Linked DNA regions of Danio rerio. The protein of the gene in region 4 purifies or fractionates together with the protein of the main gene of each other region. This does not show direct contact. Links are inferred from orthologs where the notes say so. Each region holds a gene or a part of one and is shown on either strand. Other genes may lie near its edges.

What was found.
Region 1: the proteins of amfrb (region 4) and faf2 purify together in Homo sapiens (affinity purification with western blotting; 9 studies listed by BioGRID and IntAct, with this or other methods). This does not show direct contact. The link is inferred for Danio rerio from reciprocal best matches to the Homo sapiens genes AMFR and FAF2.
Region 2: the proteins of amfrb (region 4) and insig1 purify together in Homo sapiens (affinity purification with western blotting; 6 studies listed by BioGRID and IntAct, with this or other methods). This does not show direct contact. The link is inferred for Danio rerio from reciprocal best matches to the Homo sapiens genes AMFR and INSIG1.
Region 3: the proteins of amfrb (region 4) and erlin1 purify together in Homo sapiens (affinity purification with mass spectrometry; 3 studies listed by BioGRID and IntAct, with this or other methods). This does not show direct contact. The link is inferred for Danio rerio from reciprocal best matches to the Homo sapiens genes AMFR and ERLIN1.

Annotation. Positions count from the first base shown.
Region 1 is NC_133189.1:56,136,786-56,142,849, reverse strand, and holds part of faf2 (FAS-associated factor 2), read left to right. Parts: intron 1-1,973; coding exon 1,974-2,050; intron 2,051-2,134; coding exon 2,135-2,273; intron 2,274-3,463; coding exon 3,464-3,549; intron 3,550-3,638; coding exon 3,639-3,730; intron 3,731-4,073; coding exon 4,074-4,251; intron 4,252-6,064. UniProt on the Homo sapiens protein: Plays an important role in endoplasmic reticulum-associated degradation (ERAD) that mediates ubiquitin-dependent degradation of misfolded endoplasmic reticulum proteins.
Region 2 is NC_133182.1:41,359,097-41,365,645, forward strand, and holds the start of insig1 (insulin-induced gene 1 protein), read right to left. Parts: upstream 3,676-6,549; 5' UTR 3,517-3,675; intron 3,352-3,516; 5' UTR 3,346-3,351; coding exon 3,012-3,345; intron 2,399-3,011; coding exon 2,274-2,398; intron 1,659-2,273; exon of another isoform or gene 1,475-1,658; coding exon 1,308-1,474; exon of another isoform or gene 1,091-1,307; coding exon 991-1,090; intron 1-990. UniProt on the Homo sapiens protein: Oxysterol-binding protein that mediates feedback control of cholesterol synthesis by controlling both endoplasmic reticulum to Golgi transport of SCAP and degradation of HMGCR.
Region 3 is NC_133188.1:27,917,305-27,922,065, forward strand, and holds the end of erlin1 (erlin-1), read right to left. Parts: intron 3,337-4,761; coding exon 3,127-3,336; 3' UTR 2,294-3,126; downstream 1-2,293. UniProt on the Homo sapiens protein: Component of the ERLIN1/ERLIN2 complex which mediates the endoplasmic reticulum-associated degradation (ERAD) of inositol 1,4,5-trisphosphate receptors (IP3Rs).
Region 4 is NC_133182.1:35,370,549-35,376,515, reverse strand, and holds part of amfrb (E3 ubiquitin-protein ligase AMFR-like), read right to left. Parts: intron 3,915-5,967; coding exon 3,874-3,914; intron 2,373-3,873; coding exon 2,240-2,372; intron 1,151-2,239; coding exon 1,017-1,150; intron 482-1,016; coding exon 371-481; exon of another isoform or gene 303-370; intron 188-302; coding exon 9-187; intron 1-8. UniProt on the Homo sapiens protein: E3 ubiquitin-protein ligase that mediates the polyubiquitination of lysine and cysteine residues on target proteins, such as CD3D, CYP3A4, CFTR, INSIG1, SOAT2/ACAT2 and APOB for proteasomal degradation.

The DNA.
Region 1 (6,064 bases), on a different chromosome or scaffold from region 4:
ATCATTTTATCATACAGTGCGTGTCCGTCAGTCAGCGCTTATGCATTCACTGATTTAGACATTTACATTTAGTCATTTAGCAGACGCTTTTATCCAAATCGACTTACAAATGAGGACAAGGAAGCAATTTACACAACTATAAGAGCAACAATGAATAAGTGCTATAGGCAAGTTTCAGGTGTGTAAAAATTTATTTATTTATTATTTTTATTTTAGTTAGTGGAGGAGTCAGAGAGAGAATTGTAGATTAGGGTGAAGTGGAGACTAAATAGTTGAGTTTTTAGTCGTTTCTTGAAGACAGCGAGTGACTCTGCTGTTCTGATGCAGTTAGGGAGTTCATTCCACCAATTGGGCAGATTGAGCGTGAGCGTTCGCGAAAGTGATTTCTTCCCTCTTTGAGATGGAACCACGAGGCGACGTTCATTCACAGAACGCAAGTTTCTGGAGGGCACATACATCTGCAGAAGTGAGAGCAGATAAGAAGGAGCAAAGCCAGAAGTCGATTTGTAAGCAAACATCAGAGCTTTGAATTTGATGCGAGCAGCAACTGGCAGCCAGTGCAAACGGATGAGCAGTGGAGTGACATGTGCTCTTTTAGGTTCATTAAAGGCCACTCGTGCTGCTGCGTTCTGAAGCATCTGAAGAGGTTTGATAGTTAGCTGGAAGCCCGGCGTGTAGAGAGTTGCAATAGTCCAGTCTGGAGAGAACAAGAGCTTGAACAAGGAGTTGAGCTGCATGTTCAGATAGGAAGGGTCGGTCCTTTCTGATGTTGTAGAGTGCGAATCTGCATGATCGAGCAGTTCTAGAGATGTGGTCAGAGAAGTTTAGTTGGTCATCAATCGTTACTCTAAGGGTTTTCACCATTTTGGATGCAGTAATGGTTGCCCCATCCATCTGTATTGAAAAGTTATGATGTAGAGTCCGGTTGGCAGAAACTTCATGCATTTCTGTTTTCGTGAGGTTAAGCTGAAGATGATGATCTTTCATCCACTGTGAAATGTCTGACAGGCAGGCTGAGATGCGAGGCGGAACCGAGGGATCATCAGGGTGAAAAGAGAGGTATAGCTGGGTTTAGAGGTTACATATGAGGGCCGCTGATCGACGCACAGCTTTAATGGAAAGAAAGTGAATTCAGACATTTTTAGATAAATTTCAACATGCTTTCAGGATTAAAAATATGAGAGAAATATGGGAAAATACCTAATAATAGGATATAATGGTAAAATACGGGACAATCCATGGGAACGCAAAACATCTATGCGAGGGAACGCAAAAACTTTCAAAAATATGTCTACCTATCACCTTTTTTTTTTTTCTCCCACCCATTATTTTTTCTTTCACCATCACGTCCCTTCCGGGTCTCCGTAGAAAAGTCATGGAATTTTAGTAGTAAAAATGTGTATGAACCCTGTATAGTATGGTTGAAAAACACTGCAGTATTTTCATGTGGGCAAGCTCAGGTTACACATTTACAAACAGTTTAGTGACCGCAAAAGAATAGGAGACTTACACTATCACATTTTTCTAAAAACTACTGATGTTTACTGATGAAGTAGCAGGTTCGATTCAAAGCTGTAGTAAACCTCCAGAAAACGACAGGCATTCACAAATAACGTTCAAGACATTTAGAGTTTATTTGTATTAGTACGTTGTTGTAAAATCTTTATATAATTTTAAAATGACATTAATATAACTTATTGCAATAATTTCTGACACAATATACAGCAAAATAAATATGTAAAGTGTTGTTATTATTTATAGTGACAATATTATATAAATATTATTTCTAGTATACATCAATGTTTCCTATAATTATACATGCATAACGTGCATTTAGCTGTAGTGAATATTAATAATTACAGAAATTTAGATTTTTTTCTGAATATTTTTATTACAGAATTACTTCAAAAAATATAAATGGATAGTTTTTCTTTCTTTAAATTTAAATAAAATAAACATTTTCTCTTTTACAGGGTTTAATAGGTTGGAGTTACTACTTGATAATGCTTCCCTTCAGGTTTACGTATTATACACTTCTGGACATATTCAGGTATTACATCAATTGATCTTTGAAATATAAATGTCGACCTGAATTATATTACATTACTAATGTTTTTTTTCTTGTCTTTTTCAGGTTTGCCCTGAGATTCATTCGACCAGACCCGAGGGGTCGTGTCACAGATCCTGTTGGAGATGTCATGTCATTTATTCATAGTTTTGAGGAGAAATATGGTCGATCGCATCCTGTATTCTACCAGGGAACATATAGCCAGGTATGCTAAAGGGCTCCTATGATTATGCTTTTCACACTAAAGCAAACCAAATGTGCAAAATGATGTTATTTGAGCTTGAAAATGATTGCAAAATTACAAGACTCATTCTAAATGTAGTTATTTACTGTATTGTTAAAAAACATTTTTCCCAAGATATAATTCCTGCACAAGGAAAATGTTGCTGTATTACATATGTAATTCACTGATACTCTTGTGTTTACATTCAGACATAATCAACATGTAATATACAACTTATTATAACAATTGGTTTTGTGCGACTTTGGCATAAACATTTGTATTTGGCAGGAGGTAAATTAGAATTAATACTCACATGATTGTCTCAGGTTAAAATGTACCTGTTTAGTGCTGAAATAACATATTTTAAATTTACAAGGGCTTAAAATGTGTGCAGATGTTTTGCTTGTGGGTTCTAGAGTAACTCAGGCACAGGCTGTAAAGGCTCCGCCCTCTTTTGAAAAGGGGAATGGGCAGCAAAAGCTCATTTGCATTTAAAGAGATAACGTTTAAATGTAGTGATCTAAATGCTAGACATTTGCAGCATGATATAATAAATTGTGGGCTGATATAACAATTTTGAGCTGAGACACTTGCTGGGGACACCTGAGAAGAGCATAATGGGGCCTCAATACAAAAAATGATTACACTTTATTTTACGGTGCTCTTGTTATCGTACATACTTATTATTAATTAATCTAATAATTATTAATTATTAATCTATCTATCTATCTATCTATCTATCTATCTGTCTGTCTGTCTGTCTGTCTGTCTGTCTGTCTGTCTGTCTGTCTGTCTGTCTGTCTGTTTATTACAGAATACTTTATTATTAATTAATTAAATGTACTTACTATATGTTATGGTTGGAATGTGGGTTAACCCCTTCTACAACTGATAGGTGTAAACTATAAAATGAGCCTTTTATTATGGATGTGAGCCTTTTACCATCTCATTGGATAGAAACAAAACAACAGCAGAAACATCTGATAAGAGTTTTCTGCGGAGCTTAGTAAACACAATGGTTTGTTTGTAGTAAGTGTAAAATAGTGTCTCAAAAGCAGATCTTTGGGGTTAAGCTACTTAAAGACTGACAGGTTAACATTGATGCTGATGAACTGTATTATTCTTACACTGCTAAATAAGAAGTGTATCTAAAGAGCTTGTTTTTTTTCTAGGCTCTGAATGATGCCAAGCGAGAACTTCGCTATTTGTTAGTTTATCTTCATGGAGAAGATCACCAGGACACTGACGAGTTCTGCCGGTGGGTTTACAGTGACGTTCTCCACTATTCACATGAAGTTTCGTCTCCTGATCTTATAACTGGAGCTGGTGTGTGTTTCTCTTTCTCAGATCCACGTTATGTTCAGAAGAGGCGCTCACCTTCATCAACACGAGGATGTTGTTCTGGGCATGTTCCACCAGCAAACCAGAGGGTTACAGAGGTGAACCAGCTGCACTTCATATTGTCTAATAGTCTAATAGGGACTAAAATTTAGTCCCGCGCAGATCTCTACATCACAACAGCGCAGGTTCTAATTCGTTCTGTTCGCTGTTGATGTATTCAGTGTGATGTCCCACATAAATCTTTAACCATTACCTGTTAGCATTAGTTTACAGGTAGATGCATCCATTAATGATCAAGCATGGTGGATTGCTAAAGCCAAAAATGCCAGAGCTGCAGTGCAATATCATCCTGCATTCTCATTTTTGTTTTACCTTATATCTTTTATCAGCCCTGGATGAGTGTATTGTCATGTTGTCGTGATCATCATGCCGTGTGTTCAGTCTCTCAGGCCCTGCGTGAAAACACCTATCCATTCCTGGCCATGATCATGCTGAAGGACCGGAAGATGACGGTGGTTGGGAGACTGGAGGGTTTAATCCAGCCGGAGGATCTGATCAACCAGCTGACCTTCATCATGGAGGCAAACCAGACATATCTCATGTCAGAACGACTAGAGAGGTACGGATATCACATGGTTTGATTTGTTCAGTATTTAGTGTTTTTGCTTTCAGCAGTAACATTTACATGATGCTGAAATAAACTGGACTGAAGCTGTTTCAATTTACCAATACTTCATCTGTTTTAAGCTGCAATCTACATTGTAAAAAGTGCTATAGAAATCAAGATGAATTGATTTTTGACTGTTCCGCATAGTTGTGAGAGGGTCATTTATTCTTTACATGTGTTTTATATGCATACTACATACATACAATTATAGAAATGATTCTCAGCCTTTTTTATTTCAAGAAAGAAGTTCATTAGCACTTCATTTTAGTCTCTGGACTCTCCTAACTTTTTAATGCTAATTTTTCTTTTTAAGCAAATTTAATGCAGAATTGAAACATTTAAAAAATGGAAATTTTCAGCAGATGACCTAAATAACTCTGTGGAGGGGATGTTTTTGCATCGGAACAAATAATTTAAGGCTGTTAAAATGGCAGATGTTTAAAGGGTGATTTTAAAATTTAGCTTGGCGCTGCATCGCGGACCTCCGCTGACTGCGTGCACACCTCATGAAACAGACGAGGATTTTATACTTGACGTGTTCGCCATTTTGATATTCTTACAGGGGGCGGACAAAAGAAACCAACTGAAAAAAATCAGATGGATAAACAAAGATGTTTCTGGAACTACGTCATATCATAAATATCATTCAAGATTTAACTAATTATTTTAATCCCTTTTATAAATTATTTTATTGATTATAAAGATTTTTTTTTATCCATTCAAGAATTATTATTTTTTTTTTTATCAAACTTTGATGCGTCACTTGCTTTTGTTCATATCTCAGACAGTTTAACCTATTAAAGTTAAGTATTAAAATATTAATGACAACAGAACATGGGTTACTCTACAAATATATATAAATGTATGTATGTATGTATGTATGTATGTATGTATGTATGTATGTATGTATGTATGTATGTATGTATGTATGTATGTATATTTTTATGTTATATTATGGAAAGCATAAAAGTTATATGCTTAAAAGGCAATAATGGTCCAACGTTCCTGACCATTATCACTAATAATGCCTAGAAAAGCAGGACATTGGTGTTTTGTAAACCAATATGTTCAAATATACTTTTCCAGTTAACAAAGAAATAATTGTGTTGCTTCATTTTAGTTTTGTAACTATTAAATTGTTTTAAATTCATAATGCAATATACACACATCAGTGTAAAACCCATGAATGCTGAAAAAACATTCTCCACACGGGTCTCCACTTTTTCCATGACCTCTCTTTTTGGTTTAACAAACTTTATCAAAAACTTTCCTCCTTTCATCCTTAGTATTTCTTTCGAAACCATTAGCACTATGAAATATGCCGGTAAATATCATATCATATATAAGAATAAATATCATAAGTAGAAGAAAAGAAAATCCAAATCTCTTTGTCAGAGTTATCATATGACACATTACCAGTATTTTGAAGTCAGTTACTAAAGGTTTAAAACAGAAGTCACCAATCTCGGTCCTGGAGGGCCGGTGTCCCTGAAGGGTTTAGCTCCAACTTGCCTCAACACACCTGCCTGGATGTTTCAGGTATACCTAGTAAGGCCTTGATTAGCTTTTTCAGGTGTGTTTGATTAGGGTTGGGTTGCTAAAATCGGCCCTCCAGGAACAAGTTTGGTGACCACTGGTTTATATTTATGATTTAATGACAACGAAAATTGCACAAAATAATAGAAATTTAAATGTTAATTTTAAAATAAAATATTTTTAATCCTTTTTAATTTCAATGCATGCTGCAGTGTAAATACTGTTTAAT
Region 2 (6,549 bases), about 6.0 Mb from region 4:
CCAGCTCGAAAACAAAAAGCATCCAGTAACAACGTGTAGAATGCACCACTTGGAGCCAGTAAAGCACTTTGTTTACCATCTCTCTGACCATTAGCATGAAAAACAAGGAGCGTAATCTTCTTTCACGCCCTTATTGAGAAAGAACTAGGGTATGTCAGCAAGACAAAGAGCCACAGCTGACTGAGAAGGCTTGGAGGGGATGGCACAAACAAGCTAATTAAGATGTCCAAGCATGACGTTTCTGCTCAGGCGCTAGAGGGTGTCAAAAGAACACTAAAATGGTAAACTGGTTGCTTTAAAGAAATACATTGGATACTGAAAATAGTTTATACATATTTAAGAGAATGCACAAAAATCCTAAATCCTAGTTTTCATTTATTTAAGGCAGATTTAAAACTTAGTTAGCTTATTTTTATAAGTATAAATGAATATTACAATACAAACTGCCTGCCACTTTTCAGCTACCTAGTTTGTTCACATCTAGATAGTTTTACCTTCATCAAATACAATAACCCAAGCCATCTTTACACTTCCTTTTGCTAATGTTAAACTTGATTCCCAACCTAATTGGAATCAGTTTATGAAAGCCACAAGTCCTGTTTTAATGACTGTCTTTTAATGTCATTTAGAAAATAATCCTGTCTGAACAGAGCTTACGGCTGCATGCTAAATTGTACACATTGAAATTGTTGAGTTAAATATTCTGGCTCCAAGTTTGATTTACTTCCTAAAACACGCAGGCTGGATACAAGTAGAAGAGGAACAGCTGAATAGCTGATGAGCCAAGATATTGAGTTTCACTTTTGCTTTAGCTAAAGCTAAGTTTCATTTCTGCCATTTATTTATTTTAAGCTAAACAAAAGTGGCCATTGGCTTTGTGCATAACACAAGAGGAAACTAACCACAATACATGAGTAATCAAGTACATCAGTTATTCTGTGGAATATGAAAGACTGGAAAAGGGGGCTGGTATGAGGGGCAGTTTCTTACCATAGCTAGTTGTCTGCCAATATTTCCAACAGTCACTCCGCCAGAGAAGAATATACAAGGCAGCCATGAACGGACATACAAGAAGTCTGGAGAAGTATACCTGGTAACAAATGAAGAAAAGGACTGAAATGACGAGCTGCTTAAAGGAAAAACAAAACTGAGTGTTTGCACTTGATATAATATTTGCTAATGTTTCTTACAAAAAAAACATGTTCTACGACTAAAATTATGAATATGTGAGAGTGTTAGTTACTTGCTAGTTGATATGAAAACAGTTTTCTGTTGCTGTTTGTCAACATGTTTGAGTCATAACTTACTGGTAGATGCCGTTGTAGACCAGCAGCTGAGCAATGAGAGTGGCCAGCAGGGCAGTGGTCAGCCCTAAACCAAAGCCACTCCTGGAGCGGTCAAATGTCCACCACAGACCCAGAGACAGGGCAGCCAGAGTTAGCGATAGCTGCACATTGTTAGCAAAGTCCAGTTTCTGTAAGGTACTTTGAGTTAAGCAAAATATTCTTATGTTAACATACATTTTGAAAACATTGTGATGTTAACTCAAGAATTGAGTTTGTGCAGGTTCCCAAGTTTTTGCTGGTCCACACATTTGGAGAGCAGTAAACAGGTTCCACAAAAACTTTGTAGTCAAATTTATTAAAAACTTTTTTTTTTAGTTCTTAAAAAACCCAGTTCTCATTTACATGGGGTTTCTTGGCAATGAAGTGCATGTTACTGTTTGAGTTCAGAGTTAATGTAAAGTTTTAAGGTATATTTACATGACAACAAAAAATAAAAACTTTTATGCATTTTTGCTGTTCATTTACCCAAAAACACAGACTCAGAGTCGTCAAAACAAAACTTAAAAAAGGTTAAATGATATCGTGTGCAGAGTTTTCAACTTCTGGCCGGGTCAGAGTACTGAGCATTTCTAGTCATTTTTCAGCGTTATTACAACTATCCTCAATACATAAGACTTTTTAAAAATATTAGATAAGCATAATTCTCGTTGCATAGATTATTGCTGTGTAAATATGTTTAGTACTTTAACGGGTCACCCCACTTTTTTAGTTTAGCCTTTGATGTATAATTTGTCAAGATAAATTCAGGTTCAGACAAAAACAAATAAATATGTGACAGTTAAGAGATTAAGAAAAAAAAGGATTTGTCTAATGCTATTGAATAGTAACATGGCTTATTACAGACTTAAAACAAAAATCTCAAAAAGGTTTGGAAGTTTTCATTGTCCACAATGGTTGCAACTGTAAAAGTGTCACTGTTAAGGATACAGCACTGGCGTGATTGATGCCCACAAAGACAGCAATGCAGCGCATCACGCTTGCCCACTCCCGCTTGAACTTGTGTGGTTCTCCAAGATGGTGGTCCAAGCAGGGGTACAACAGACCAACCACAGCTGAGAAGAGAAAACAGAAAGTACTTTAAACAACATTCATTGAAAGGGGGAAAAAAGAAGAAGAAAAAAACATTTTTTACATCTGCTTGGTATTGTTTGACGCCTTTTAGTATATAAATAATGGGTGATGACTTTTGTGTTTAAATAAATCTCATAAGAAGAGTTCAAGTACAACAAAACTCTTTAAAAGGCATTTTCTACTGAAAAGGATGTAAACTGATACGCGTCCACATCACCACTATGAGGAATGCAGGGGGAGGAGTCGAGCGTGACCGAATTATTTATTAATTTCTGCTGCACACGACTTCCGTGTTTCTCTTTTCGGGTAAGTGGCATGTTCGGCGTACCAGCCAATGGCGTGCCTCTCTCGCAGCTCACCCGTTCTGAGCGCAGCCAATGAGAATGCAGCACCCCAAGAATGACCCCAAATGCCCGGCTGTTACCAGGGCAGCGCTTACTGATAGCTACAAAGCCCAATGTCAACAAAACTGTCCCCGAATCACTCATCTTACATAAAAGACACGATAACAAAAAGCCCTCAGCAAGCACACCGTCTTTGTTTGTTATCGTCACGAACAAAGCATTCGAGCCCAAGTGTTTCAGACAGACTCACCAGCAGCGGTGCCACAGCAGAGGGGAATCCACCAGGCGGACGAAAATAGCGTGTCCAGCACTTCCTCTGGAAACAATGTAACGTTTCTCTGGATCTGTAGCAAGTTTAACACCAAAGCGAGCACAACTCCCACGATAAACAACACAAGCCCCCGTCGAATTAAATTGGCGGACTGGAGGCTGTGCAGAGAGCCGTACGCGTGGCTCAGCACTGAGGTTATGATGGACATCATTTCACCCGTTTTACAGACAATCCAGCCGGCGCTTGACAGGTCCTTCGTCTTCACACTGGTCGAACAGGAGCAGCTCCAACAATGTTCCTCTAGTCTTGGCATTTGGCACTGTTGGAAAACAGTAATACTCATTAATAATTATCACTAACTTGATCAAATAAAATAATGTTGAAAGTCAAGTATTACGCTACAAAAAGCAGTGCTGTAGCCCAAAAAACAATCTGTTCCCAATGAGTATGAAGTGGAAGTAAAGGGAATGAATAGGCTACCCACCTTGATCTTTTAGCGATGTCTTCGTCTAAAGCAGAACACGTCTGTGCTTTCAAAACTCTTTTACAAAAACGAAAGGCTACCTACAAATAGTTTAGATGTGTTGTTTGATCACATCATCTGTAAGAGAAATACTGCTGCCTCTTTTCATCCCTCAGTTGAACACTGCCACACGCGCGCTTCCTCTGCAGAAAACAAGCGCGGTCATGTCTGGTGAGTCTCTCTAGCCAATCAGAGTGCGGCGGGCCATATGACGCGAACGCGCGCCACCCCTCTCTGACAGACACGCGCTGTTGATGTTCGCCATCAGCTGTTCGCCTTGTGTGTGTGTGTGTGTGTGTGTGTGTGCGTGTGCGTGTGTGCGTGTGCGTGTGTGCGTGTGCGTGTGTGTGTGTGTGTGTGTGTGTGTGTGTGTGTGTGTGTGTGTGTGTGTGTGTGTGTGTGTGTGTGTGTTGACGCTATGCCAGAGTCATGCAGAAAAGTCTTAAACTTCTAGATTGGTTAAGTTTAATGACCTTGCTTTGCTAAATCCTTTTCAGTAACTAAGCAATACAGCACTGATTCGAGATTTTCTCAGTGTTCAATATTGCTGTTCTCCTGTTTGCACAAAACAAACTACTTGTTGGGTAAATGTATTTGTAATCTTTTCAGGGTACAGACAAGAAAGCTTTTTGCTGATATGAACTTTTTTTTAGTTCACTATGAGTGAACAGGCCCTGAAAGTGTATGAGATAATGCGGATTTGTTGGCTATACGTGACAGCGTGCAGTACGTGTCCGTGAGACTGAAAACAAGAAATCAGGTCATGATGCTCAGTGGGCTGTTCCCCCACTGTAAATAAACTTGTGTACTTATAGTTTATTGATTCAGAGCAGAACAGAGTTCAGTCTCTTACCTCAGTGGAACCACTCCTCACCAGATAAATGAGTCTGATGTTTGCCCCTTGTCAAGAATGACTGTCAACAACTCTTTAGCTGCTGTTTTTACAATAAAGGTTCCAAAATGGGCTTTTCGTTGCAGTGCTAGAAAATAACCATTTTTGATATCTAAAAAGCTTTTGTGTTGATGAAAGTTCAGAAAAGAAGCATTATTTTATTGGTGTGAAAGACATCCTAAACACATTAATGAACCTTTTTTCAACAGAGAAACTTATGTGCAATGGAAACGTGCTGTGGATGTTAACGAGTCACGAAACACCAAAACACATTTTTTTGAGATGTTGACAATCATAAATATGACTCACGTTGCTAAAACACTATTAGGACACATATATTTCACAAAAAAGTGAAAATTGGTGGGTTTTGCAATATTTGAGCCAATTCATTCTTCAGATTTAAAAAGAAATTTTGAAGCTGCGTTACGGCCATGAGATCATAGTGTAAATTCCAGCATGGAGACTGGATGTCTGAACCGGTACAACATGATGTCTGAGTTTTCAGCATAAATTCATTACAAAGACTTGGTTCGAACCAATCAGCGCGCTCTACTGTGAATGAGGTGCAACTTCATTAATATGCATGATATAGTTCAAAGACGGTTTTTACCTGTTACAGTGCCCAGATGACCAACCATAATTAAAACAAGTAGTAGAAGAAGAATTGTTTGGAGATATGGATCGTCAGTGTTTTTTTTACCAGATGAGCTTTTCACATCTGGAAATGGTGAAATCCAGATTTGCCGCTTTCCTTCTTTTAAAAAAAACGCGGTTCTAGTTGATGTTGATTGTCCTGTCTAGTTTTGGTAAGCGATCAGTGTTCTTTGTTTATGTTAATTAAGATGGCAAACTGCGATATCAAATTATATTAAAACAACACTCTTCCAGCTGTTAATCTCATCCAATATCTTGTTTGTCACAGGGGGCATGAATGAAATGTTCCTGAATGAAAGTGAAAGAGTCAAACTGTAGTTGAAGTCAACAAATTAAAAATGAAACACCCGAAATTACATCAAATTACATTACTCCGGAGGAAATGTGGAAATGTGGATAGCGTGATGACGTTATAATCGAATTTTGTGCTATAACATGTAAAACAGGATCATGAAAGGAACATTCAAAAAGCTACTCATAAACACCTTAATCATAATATTGCCATATTCAGAAATAATTTGATTACTGATTTCCATGTAAACGTGTCTATCTCCACTCCATTAGCTTCTGCTCTGGAAAGACGCTTCTTTGGAAATCACAATATTCTTAATAATCGGCTAATAAAGTAAAGCGCTGAAGTGAAACCCTTTTCTCTAATACTCTGTTTCAGCTGGAATTATGTCATAATACTGAAGTCTGTTTAAGACCTAAGGTTCCTGCAGACTATAAGTACGCACATGTTGGAATGTTCAAAAGCAGTCTGAGAGTTTTGCAAATAAATTGGGAGTAAAATATCTGTTACAACTTTCAGTGATTTTTATAAGTTTAAAACTTTTTTAAAACAGCATGTTTGGAATTAAGACAGTAAAATGCTATCCAATTCTTAACCACTATATTCACCACGACTGTATCGTGTCAGTAAACATAATGTGTGTGTGTGTGTGTGTGTGTGTGTGTACTGCAAACAGCATTTGTGTGAGATTCATAATTTCAGGAAGGCTTGAAAAAACTCCACCACAAATACATGAAATAAACTTGGTATTTTTGATGAATAACTGTATTTCAGCTTTATTCAAGTCTGTCTCTGTCGCTGTGCTGTTTATCTGACATACCGCATGATCAGAAGCAGACACACACATGGGAAGGTGGGCAGAGAGAAGAAGCTCATTTGCATTTAAAGCCACAGGCTACAAAAACAGCTACACTGTATTTAGACACCAAAAATGGGCAAATTCTGGAGGCTTTAAAGGGCCATGAACCCCCCCACTTACGGTTTAAGTCTACCTCAGAAATTTAAAAAAAAGCATCATAATGGGTGTGGAGCTCCTTGAGCAGAGGCAGGAGTGGGTGTGGCCAGCAGAGCAGGGGAGAAGGAGGGGAACTGTTGTCAGTTGGCAACACAAAATGAGACACAAACCTTGAGGAGATCCATGATTTTAAGGTTTCCA
Region 3 (4,761 bases), on a different chromosome or scaffold from region 4:
AAGTCAATACTATCCTATACTGTACTAAAAAATACTATTCAAGTGGATTTTGTGTTCAACAGAAGAAACTGTTGACAACTCTTGCAAGAAAGTTCTTGGCAATGCATATTGTTAATCAAAATGTATGTCTTGATATATTTATGATAGGAAATTTACAAATTGGAACATGATCATGTCTTATTCTAATAATTTTTACTGGTATATTTCATTGTTGGCTACTCTTATATAAACCCATGCAACTTAAGACTGGTTTGATTGTCTAGGGTCAAATACACAAACAACAGTGAGACTTTCTCACACTCCGTCAAGCAGGCAACAAAAACCAAGGGCCAAGTTTGGCATATACTTAAATTTATATTTTTATACCGCACTTCTTACATATGAAAGATGAGATCTATTTCCTATTCCTCTATATTTCTTGGAAAATAGCTCAAACCAAACTACAACACAATTAATCGTGACACAATCTATGACATAAAGCTATGTGAAACACTTCCTTAATAGGACATGAAGTGCACTTCCCTAATGTGAAGGAATATGATCACACAAGCGTCGTTTTCATGGTATCAAAATAGGTTTTATTTCACAGAATTGAACATTGTCAAAATTTTATAAATTTTGCATATAAATGTTTTAAAATTAGGAGCTTAAATTACGCTGACATAAAAAAGTGACATTCACAGAGTGGGTTTATTCCAGGGCAGTCAAAGTCTGTCCTCTCTCCATTTAACAACCACAGGGAACACATCGCTTTAAGACAGTCATATTCACACTCTAAAGCAAAACCATGGATAAAGTCAAACTTAAGGGATAGCTCACCCAAAAATTGACGTTTCCTCATCATTTGCTCACATTTAAGTGGTTCTAAACCTTTAGGAATTTCTATCTTCAGTTGAACACAAAACAAGATATTCTGAAGAATGTTGAGAGGAGAAAGCAGTCACAGAAATCCATAGTAAAAAAAAAAACTATTATGGAATTCAATGGCTGTTTTATTTCAACATTCCTCAGTGTTTCTTCATTTGTGTATTCAAAAGAAGAAACAAACTCAATTAGGAGCACAAGTAAATGACAGAATTTTGGGTGAACTATCCCTTTAAAAGGGAAAATGGCAAAAGCAACAGGATGTAGCATCAACAATCGGACTAACTGTATTAAATCAGTGCTCATCTCTTTAATCGACCAGTCTGCAAATGATGAAAAATCAACATGTCGTGTGACAGATTCACACAATCAACACAAACTGACACCCGACTCAAATTTCAGTCAAGTTTATATTGTTTTCTAAGAAAGAAAAAAACAGGCCATTCAAGTTAACACGCAGGTCTCTTTTCCTGAGATAGTACTGACAGACGCTATTCGAAATGATTTGATGCAATGCATTGCTATTATTGGCATATGACTGCAACTTATACAGATTTGACAACTTCCAAGAAAAGCTAAACCACAACGTTTTTTAACTGTTTGTTGCCTACTCTTGTAGTTCCTGAAGATCACTGGCTTCCCCTAGTGGTGACACTTCTCAGTATAAACACCCGCTCATCATAATGCTAAATGTTTGACAGTGCCTAATAATACAGCAGCCCTTATTGTTACTGAATTCCCTTTGAAATAAACTCATTCCAGTAATGACCAAATAAACAAGTTCAACTAAAGTCAGAAAGGCATTTGTTAGTCACTACACTATATATACACGACCATCCGAAAGCAATCCAATCTCATTGCTTGTCAAAGCCCTGGAAAATGAAATCTGAAATTGTATGAAACCCTGTTCAGTATGAACCCAACAACTTGAAAAATCCACAGGGCCGCCACAAATGAACATGCTACACAACACTATACCACAACCCACTATTTCTGACATTACATGAAATCCAATTCACAACAAAAGTATTCAGGCGTCAATGATGTCAAAAATCTTCATCTTGAAGACCAACAAAACTCAAGCAAGGGATGATTTTAAAATGAGATCATTCTTACAAACATATAATAATCAGAATTATAATTAATAACATATAAAAGCCGCTGATCTTTGCAGTCTTGGCTCAACTAAATTAAGATTTTAGTGCTTATCAAGTTAGTGATGATGGACATGAGCACTTTTGCAAAAGGACTACTCACCAACATTTAATATTGTCATTGCTTACTCATCCTCACATCATTCCAGACTGGATTTAACTTATTTTGGAAACAAAGTTATTATTTTTTAATTATTTTTGTCCATTTAATTAAAACCAAAGTGATCCAAGCAAAGTTCAACATTGGAGACTGTTGGTTTGCACTGTATGGACAAAAAAAAAAAAGATATTGAAAAATGTAGTTTATCTTTTCATGTTCCACAAAAGAAAGCATCACCGCTTTGAGGATGAACAAATGATGACTATTTAGAGGTGTAGTGAAACATCCCTTTAACAACATATGAAAAAAAGAAGATGACAGTTTGGCTGCAAAATGAGTTTGATCATATTGTAGATATATAAAGGGATAGTTCACGCAAAACTCAATCATCATTTACTTGTTGAAAACCTTTTTGAGTTCCAAAAAATGGTGGACACTGGTAGCCACTGACTTCCATAGTATTTGTTGTTCCTACTATGGAATGTTATTGGTTACATGTTTTCAGCTTTCTTCAAAACATCTTTTGTGTCAACTATCCCTTTAAGCCACTCACTGCCTTCTAATTAGTGTGATGCCTTATAATTCCAGTTTCAAAAGACAACACAAAAGATGAACCTCCAAATGTTCACATACTTTACGCAGACGCATCTGCATCTAACAAATAATTAGCATGGATCTGTAAAAGAGAAGAGAAAGCTGAGCAACAAAAAAAGGGGGGAAGAAAGCATGCTGATGTGAAACAGGAACATTTTAGCTTCGAATCTGGCGATAATCAATAGCACAATTGCTGGACGTTACCATTTAGTCCACTAATGACTGCTGGAAAACCAAAGGCTCTGTATGTCAGTCTCCTCAGCGAGCCAAGCACCCAACACCACTGCAGCAGAAGAGGGAAAATATCCATGTCAGCATGCCTCACAAGCACCCCTGCCCCAAAACAAGAGACAGAGAATGAGAGAGAGAGAGAAAGAGAGAGAGGAAGAAGGGGGTGGACAGATCTCAGGCCCTTCAGTGGCCTTCTGAGGCTTTGGGCTTGGACGCTTTCTTAAGACTCTCTCTCATGCTCAAGGACTCCAGCTGCTCGGATTCTCCTGCGGCCGGACGGGAGGCACTGCTGTCTACAAACATGTTTGGGATGTCCTGACCGAAGTAGATCTTGCTGTTGGCAGCTATGGCCTGGTACTTCATCAGCTGCAGATACTCTGGCGTGAGCTTGAGCTGTGGAGGAGGGAGACAGAGAAGTGTCTGATGAACGATCTGAGCTAGTCCTGTGTGGAATGTGCCTTCGTGTGTTCAAGGTAGACGCTACAGACTCCTAGAAGAGCTTTCGTAACATAGCATAGCTTGAATGATGTTTGAGGTTTGTGCAAGCTGAAAAAAAAAGTACTTCAGTATGTGGTTTTATTAAGTTTCTTTTTTTTAATCAATTTATCAGACTAGACTGGTGTATGTAATTTAGAAACAGTGAACAAAGCAACAGTTAAGTGTCTGATTTAAACTTGTACGTTAAACAGAGTTATAACACGGCTGTCTGGAATACTCGATTCTGATTGGTCAGTCGTGACATTCCAAGGTATGTTATTCAGAGTTAACAAATAATACAGGCTCATATGGGATCTTCGAATCGTTGAGCGTCAGTGAATAAGTTCAAATCCTTAAATCTGCATTTAAATAGATCTCCTTGTTTGTACTGCTGTGGTTTTAAACTTGTTTGGCGACATCTTCTGAATAAATAATGTATAGTTTGGTACATGGTTTGTTCAGTCGGTTTCACTTCTGTCAGCATAATTTTTTGGACTGTCTGGCAGCATCTTGTGACTGAATAATAATGTACAAGTTAGTGTATAGTCCATTAGCTGTTTTAGTTTTTGTCAGTTTAATTAAAGTCTTATTGTCATGTTTTGTGGCAAGTAGCCATGCAATAAGCAGCATAAAGTAAATCCAGGAGGATTGTTTTTTACAGAAACAAAGCCCTTGAGTCTTTGCGTCAGACTGCTTATAAGCAGGGCCAGACGGAATCTGCTGACATTTTTTGCTAATTCTGCTGAGAATTTTGCTTAAAATCTGGATTTCTGCGGAATTATTTTGGGAGTATCATAACTAAAACCTTAAAAAGTAATCCATCTTTTATTTAATGTTTAAATTGCAAATCCAATTATCAAGTCTCATATAATATATCTACTAAAAGACATTAATCAGATGAACATTTTCATATTAGTCAATAATATTACTGTAATTAATTTAAAAACTAAATAAACTTAGATTTACACACATTTACTAAAGCAAATAAACAGAATCAATGATGGGCTAAAAATCTGCGGAAAATCTGTGGAATTTTGAGCGTGCAGATTCCGTGTGGGCCTACTTATAAGCCAGTCCGGCTTTAATCTGAGGTGATAACCCAGCGGATGTACTTTATCTCTAACTTAATGCACTTAATAACATATTAAAACATCTTTAAAATAAAAAAACTCCCTTCATGCATTTGTCGAAATAGATTTTCCAGAATATGAAATAAAACAATTAACATCTAGCATGCAAAACATGCATGCCCAGTGTTTGAATTTCTTTCTACTAAGATGTAGGTGTTTGTGTAGCACATTTCGCAGACAATGCTAAATTTCAGTTCTGCTTTACGAGTAA
Region 4 (5,967 bases):
AATTTTACCATTAAAATGAAAAAGTTGACTGTGGTATCTGGTTGGAGGTCTGCTAGGCACATCAGTTGCTCCCAAACTGAACAATGCCCCCTCCTGCTCATTTCCAGTATGACCGCCACTCATATTTACAGACATCCTACATGTAGGACATGACATATTCTGCTCAAGCCAGGAACGCAGACATGACCTGGGAAACAACAAAACATGTTCACTATAGTCGTATAGTCTTAATTAGCAAAAGAACAATGACTGTTCCACAGAAACAATGAATACACGACCCATTCAAATGAACTCGCATTTACCTAATGTCATTCCCTAGGGTGGTAAAGTCATTTATTGGAACAAAGTAAACACATGATCTGTTTCATACTTGTGAAATAGATGGCCACAGGGTAATTTGTATGCTGTGTACATCTTTTCCCAGCAAATAACACATCTGTCATCACGAGATGCCAGCTCTTCCATTGTAGCCATTGAAAACCTGCCAAAAGAAAAGACTTTATGATTTATAAGCTTGTCTTTTCCCATTTTAATACTGCAAATTACCAAAACACAGTGCATAGCAGTTATCTTATTTACACATACAAATAAATTAACATACAGCACAATAATAAAGGGGCGAAACTTACACTGACATTTCAGGAAATTCATGTTTACCATTAAATATTAATCAACTCCTTTCAAAGACTTTGAAGAAACATTAATTAACAATGTGAAAAAGACAATGTTTTCTAATATTTGTTATATTCATATATTAATGAATTAATTTACATTTACAACAGTACAAGTTTGTGTTGGTACTTTGCAGTGATATACACTTTAGTACTACCTATATAAAAAACACGGCAGCAAAATTGCATGTGATTGACATTAAATTTGACATTTCTCTCTTCTGAATGCCCTCCATGTCCACCCCCCCCCCCCAACACACACACACACACACTCTCAGACTGTCTTAGTATTTATTTTGATATTGCAAAAAGAGATATATAAAAAAGCTTAGCAGTAAAACATACCTTGTGTCCATAACATCATATATGTGCATGTAGTTCTTGTGTTGAAATAATTTGCGCTGCATTTCTTTTGCCAAGAATCGTATGTGTGTCAGTATAAATAAATCAGCCACTGAGAACCAAACGTTCCCATATAGCTGAAAAAGAAAAACACAGGCAAAAATCAAGGATAATTAGTGCTATTCATTATATTATTTACTAGCAAAAAAATCCTGTAAAATTATTTATTAAAGGAGCTATATGCAAGGATTATCATAGATTATTAGCTCTTTTGTCAGTGTGTAAACAGCTTCTAATGAAACTCTTGAGACAAGACCTTGGCTGATTTCCTAGGTTGTCTATTAGGATTTGGACTTATGAAGCATGTTATTCTAATTAGAAACTTCTCTTTTTTGACACATGAAACAAATTGTTATGCAATGAGGATAATGCTGAAAGAAAAACTATATTTCAATGTTAATATGTTTTAGAAAAAAAGATAATTAATTATAATTAATTATCTACAGTCTCACAAAGCTTTAAAGTTCATAGTCTCAAACAGAGTAATCGAACAAAGTGTAAGTCTACTTGAAAATTCTCAGTTTTTCCAAGAATGCAGCAATTTATTTTTTAAAAGCTAATTAATTCAACTAAAAAGTAACTCACATAAAATTTTTTAAAGTAACTTAAATAATTTTACTTATTCTTTTTTTAAAATAATGCATTACTTATAATCATTAATAAGAAAAGTAATACTATTATGTAACTTGTGCTTATTTTGATATTGAGAAAAAAAATTATGTTAAATGTCAAACTAGCATCACTATGGGGTGCATATGTGTTCATCATCACTATATTGCTGCAAAATGTTTCCAACCTCTTTATTCTTACAAATTAAAGTATTTTTTTTTTAAGTATATTAAGGAACTCAATCACACTCAGTCCTTTTACATGAAGAGTGTACAAGTTGCTGACTGCAGTTTACTAGTATCGCTAATATCACGGGTTTGGCAATGCCACACATATACCCCTTTAATCGGTGGTTCTCAACTTCAATTTTGTCTTTTTAATTGGACAAATATGGTCCAGTTAATGGAGCTCATTGTTTATGGTTAGATTATTTGCATCAGTTGTGTTATTTAAGAAATACATGCACAATGTGCAGACATAACTCACCAAGGCTGGAGTTGAGAACCACTGCTTTAAATAAATGAAATATTTTCTAACAAAAAAGATGATTGTCTCACCAGCATGTTGATGTGGTGCATCATATCTAGGAGGAGAATACCCATCTCCATGACAAAGTCTGTGTAATAAATAAAGACCTCTTTACCTTCCCAGGAACTATCACACATCAGGTCATAGAGGTGAATTGCGTACCTGGGCAAAAATGATATATCATTTATATTAAGCAACTTTTAGAAAAATGTGTGTAACATAAATTTCAAGTTATGGGGGCTTTTGTTTAGCAGATGTGTATTCAGTCCCTTCAGGATTTTGCAAAGAATCTATACTTGAGTCCTGTTAAAACTAAATACATATTACAAATAATTATATATTTTACAAGCCAATCAGATTTTTAAGTTGAACTTTTTAATTAACCAGGCAATTTTTAAAAATATATATATGTTAGTGTCAATACTGATAACAAGGGAGAATTTTTAGCCCCCTGAAAATTAAAAAATGTTGGTCTTCAGACAATTCTTCATGCTAGATTTGTGCTTTGACATGCTCTGTCAACCCTGGGAACTTTTATATTCAAATCATGTCCAATCAGCTGAATATACCAAAGGTGAACTCCAATTAAGCTGCTGAAACATCTCAAGAATAATCAGTGGAAACAGAATGTACCTGAGCTCAATTTAGAGCTTTACGGCAAAGGCTGTGAATACTTATGTACATCTGATTTTTCAAGTTTTTTATTTTCAATTAATTTGCAACAATTAAAAAAAAAATCTTTTTCACATTGTCATTATGGGGTATTGTGTGTAGAATGTTGAGAAAATAAATGAATTTAATCCATTTTGGAATTAGTTTGTAAAAAAAATAAAATGTGGAAAAAGTGAAGTGCTATGAATACTTTCTGGATGCACTCTAAGTATACAGTAACAGTGAATACATATTCACTACCATCTTCTGCCACGCTCCCATTTTGTTATTTCTCCCGGAAAACTCCCATAATTTTACCCCCAACTAACCCCACACCCAGACCCCCCTCCCCCTCCTTTCTTTTTCTCGGACTTTCAGAGAGAAATTTTGTCAGGTATGTTCACTACTGTTGCAACCCATCTTTCATATTATACCTCTTGGGGCGATATAATGTTAACATATTTAATAATAATGTGGTTAATCTTTGATTTTAAGCATAAAAAACCTGTTGCAGTCTGCTTAATGTTACTCAAGACAAAGTTCTCTAGACGATTTATCTTCTTCAACTACTGCTTTTCCTTTTGTTTAATATCTATCTCAACATTCCCTGACCCACTGGATTATTTTTTTCTTCATCAATAAATAATTATGAAGAGTCCAGTTTATTTGTTATGCTGCTCGTGCTACAATAAAAAAAATTAAGCATTCATATTCCATCAACTCTCCATAGTAGATTTGTGTTTTTTTTGGGGGGGATACTATTTCAATATACATGTTTCTATGAACACAAGTAACTTAACAAGCAACACAGCAACACAATATGCTTAGAAGTTTCATCAATATTTCAATAAAGCGCAAATGTATGATTTTTGACACTATATTGTATATGGAACTTGTATTTAGAACTTGCTGTGATGTTATAACTTATTGTTGATAGATGTTAGTTTATTATATTAATTTATTATGTTACTAATATGTTACTTTCTGAAAACTCACATTTCCAAATACTTACCGAAGAATTGAATGGTTCACATAAACAGATACCATTAGGCACTAGAAAAACAGAATCTGTGTATTAAAAAACGAGTGTATAGAGTGCTTTCTGTCACACCCAGTGATTGCTTTCACATGCTTTTACACACTAGTCTTTCAAAGCCAGACTTTCAGACTCACAGTTAGAGATCTGGGGATATTCACAAAACATCTTAAGGGTTAATTTGCAGATTTAAGACAATATCTTTAATACAATGGTTGTGCCAGTCCAAATTTTAGAACTCTGAGAAATTTTGGGGATAGGGAAGAGGAATGGATTTGTGAAAATGGATTTTGTGAAAATCTGCCTTAGAGGAAAAAAAATAATAAAAAATTAAAGCTGCAAGCAGCGATGATAGGGACCTCGCACCCGGGCTCACCGCCGCCCGGTAGCCTCAGGATGACAGAGAGAACAGCGAACAACATTAATTTAAGCTGATATATATAAATAACCAGAGAAAATCACAGATTTATGCCGAACTTCCTCCTGTCAGCAGGTGGCGCTATAATTGTGACTAAAGATTTTTATGTAGATGCCTTCAGTAGAAGAGTCTTATCAACCGTGTGATTTTTCAGGCAGATCGGACATTGTGTGGCTGAGTTATAAGCCAAACTACCTTCTGCCAGCAGGTGGCGCTATGACTGACTCAATTATGTTATGTGGATGTGTTCAGGAGAGGAATTTAATCAACCATTTGAAGTTTCAGGCAGATCAGACATTGTGTGGCTGAGTTATAAGCCAAACTACATTCTGCCAGCAGGTGGCACTATGACAGATTCAATATTGGCTTTTAAATGTCTTCAGAAGAGGAATTTAATCAACCATGTGTAGTTTCAGGCAGATCAGACATTGTGTGGTTAAGTTATAAGGTAAAATTCCTTCTGTCAGCAGGTGGCGCTATGACTGTAACTCAATATAGGTATGGGGATATGTTCAAGAGAAGAATTTAATCAACCATGTGAAGTTTCAGGCAGATCGGACATTGGCTGTTTCTCAATTCCAAAGAACGCAGAGAATGGACTTGCGTTCTTGTAGAGTGCGGTCTTGCCAGCTGTCCTCGGAAGAACGAACTCAGGAGACCGCGAGGGCAGAGAACGCGTCCTTTGAGAAATGGGATGCTGCGTTCTTCCTGATGGTCATGTGACCTTTACGCGTTTTAACTGGAAATTAATTAAACATTACAGCCTTCATACAACGATTTATTGTTTCCCCCCTCTTCAAAATATATACTTTGCATAAAAACATTATAAATATACTCTGCACATTATAAATAAAACAAATTTTAATACGAATTTCATCAAACAAACACAATTAATGTGTTTATTCCTTTATTAAGATGTTCATGTTAATGTTTACCTTCACCGTTTCATTTAGGGAAACTCCTGAGGTAAATAAGTGATATCTCTGAACTTTAATAATAAATCTAAATAAAATGCTGCGCTTTCCACCTCCAGTCGCAATGACTTCTGGGACTTCCAGAGCGAGTTCGCTGTTGAAGTCTGCATCGGTGCGTCCTCGATATCAAGAACACATCCGGGAAGTTTCACGCGTCCTCCGTACTTGCGGTCTTGAGTATTGGAACTGAACTTAGGCAGCTAATGATGACGTTTCACGAGAACACGAGGACGCAAGACCGCTGAAGAACGCATATTGAGAAACAGCCAGTGTGTGGTTGAGGTATAAGGACTTCCTGTTTCATGGCGAAGCGTTGAGGTTTGTCATGCCACCACATACACGCCCCTCCGCAAAAACTCTAGATCTTCACAATATATATCATCGCTTGAGCTTTCAGATAACAACCAACCAAATTTAGTGCTGATACGAAAAAAATTTGTGGGAGGAGTTTATTACTCTGTAAATCATGTAATTTCCTGTGGCCAGCAGGTGGCGCTATAGCTGTATCTGGATATTGGCATGTAAATGTGTTCTGGTCTAGACTCTTATTAAACGTGTGAATTTTGAGGCAGATCTGATAATGCATGCCTGAGTTATAATGACGTCCGGTTTTGTGGCGAATCATCAAAGTTTGCGTGGCCGCCACGGACACGCCCATCGACAAAAACTCTAAAGCTT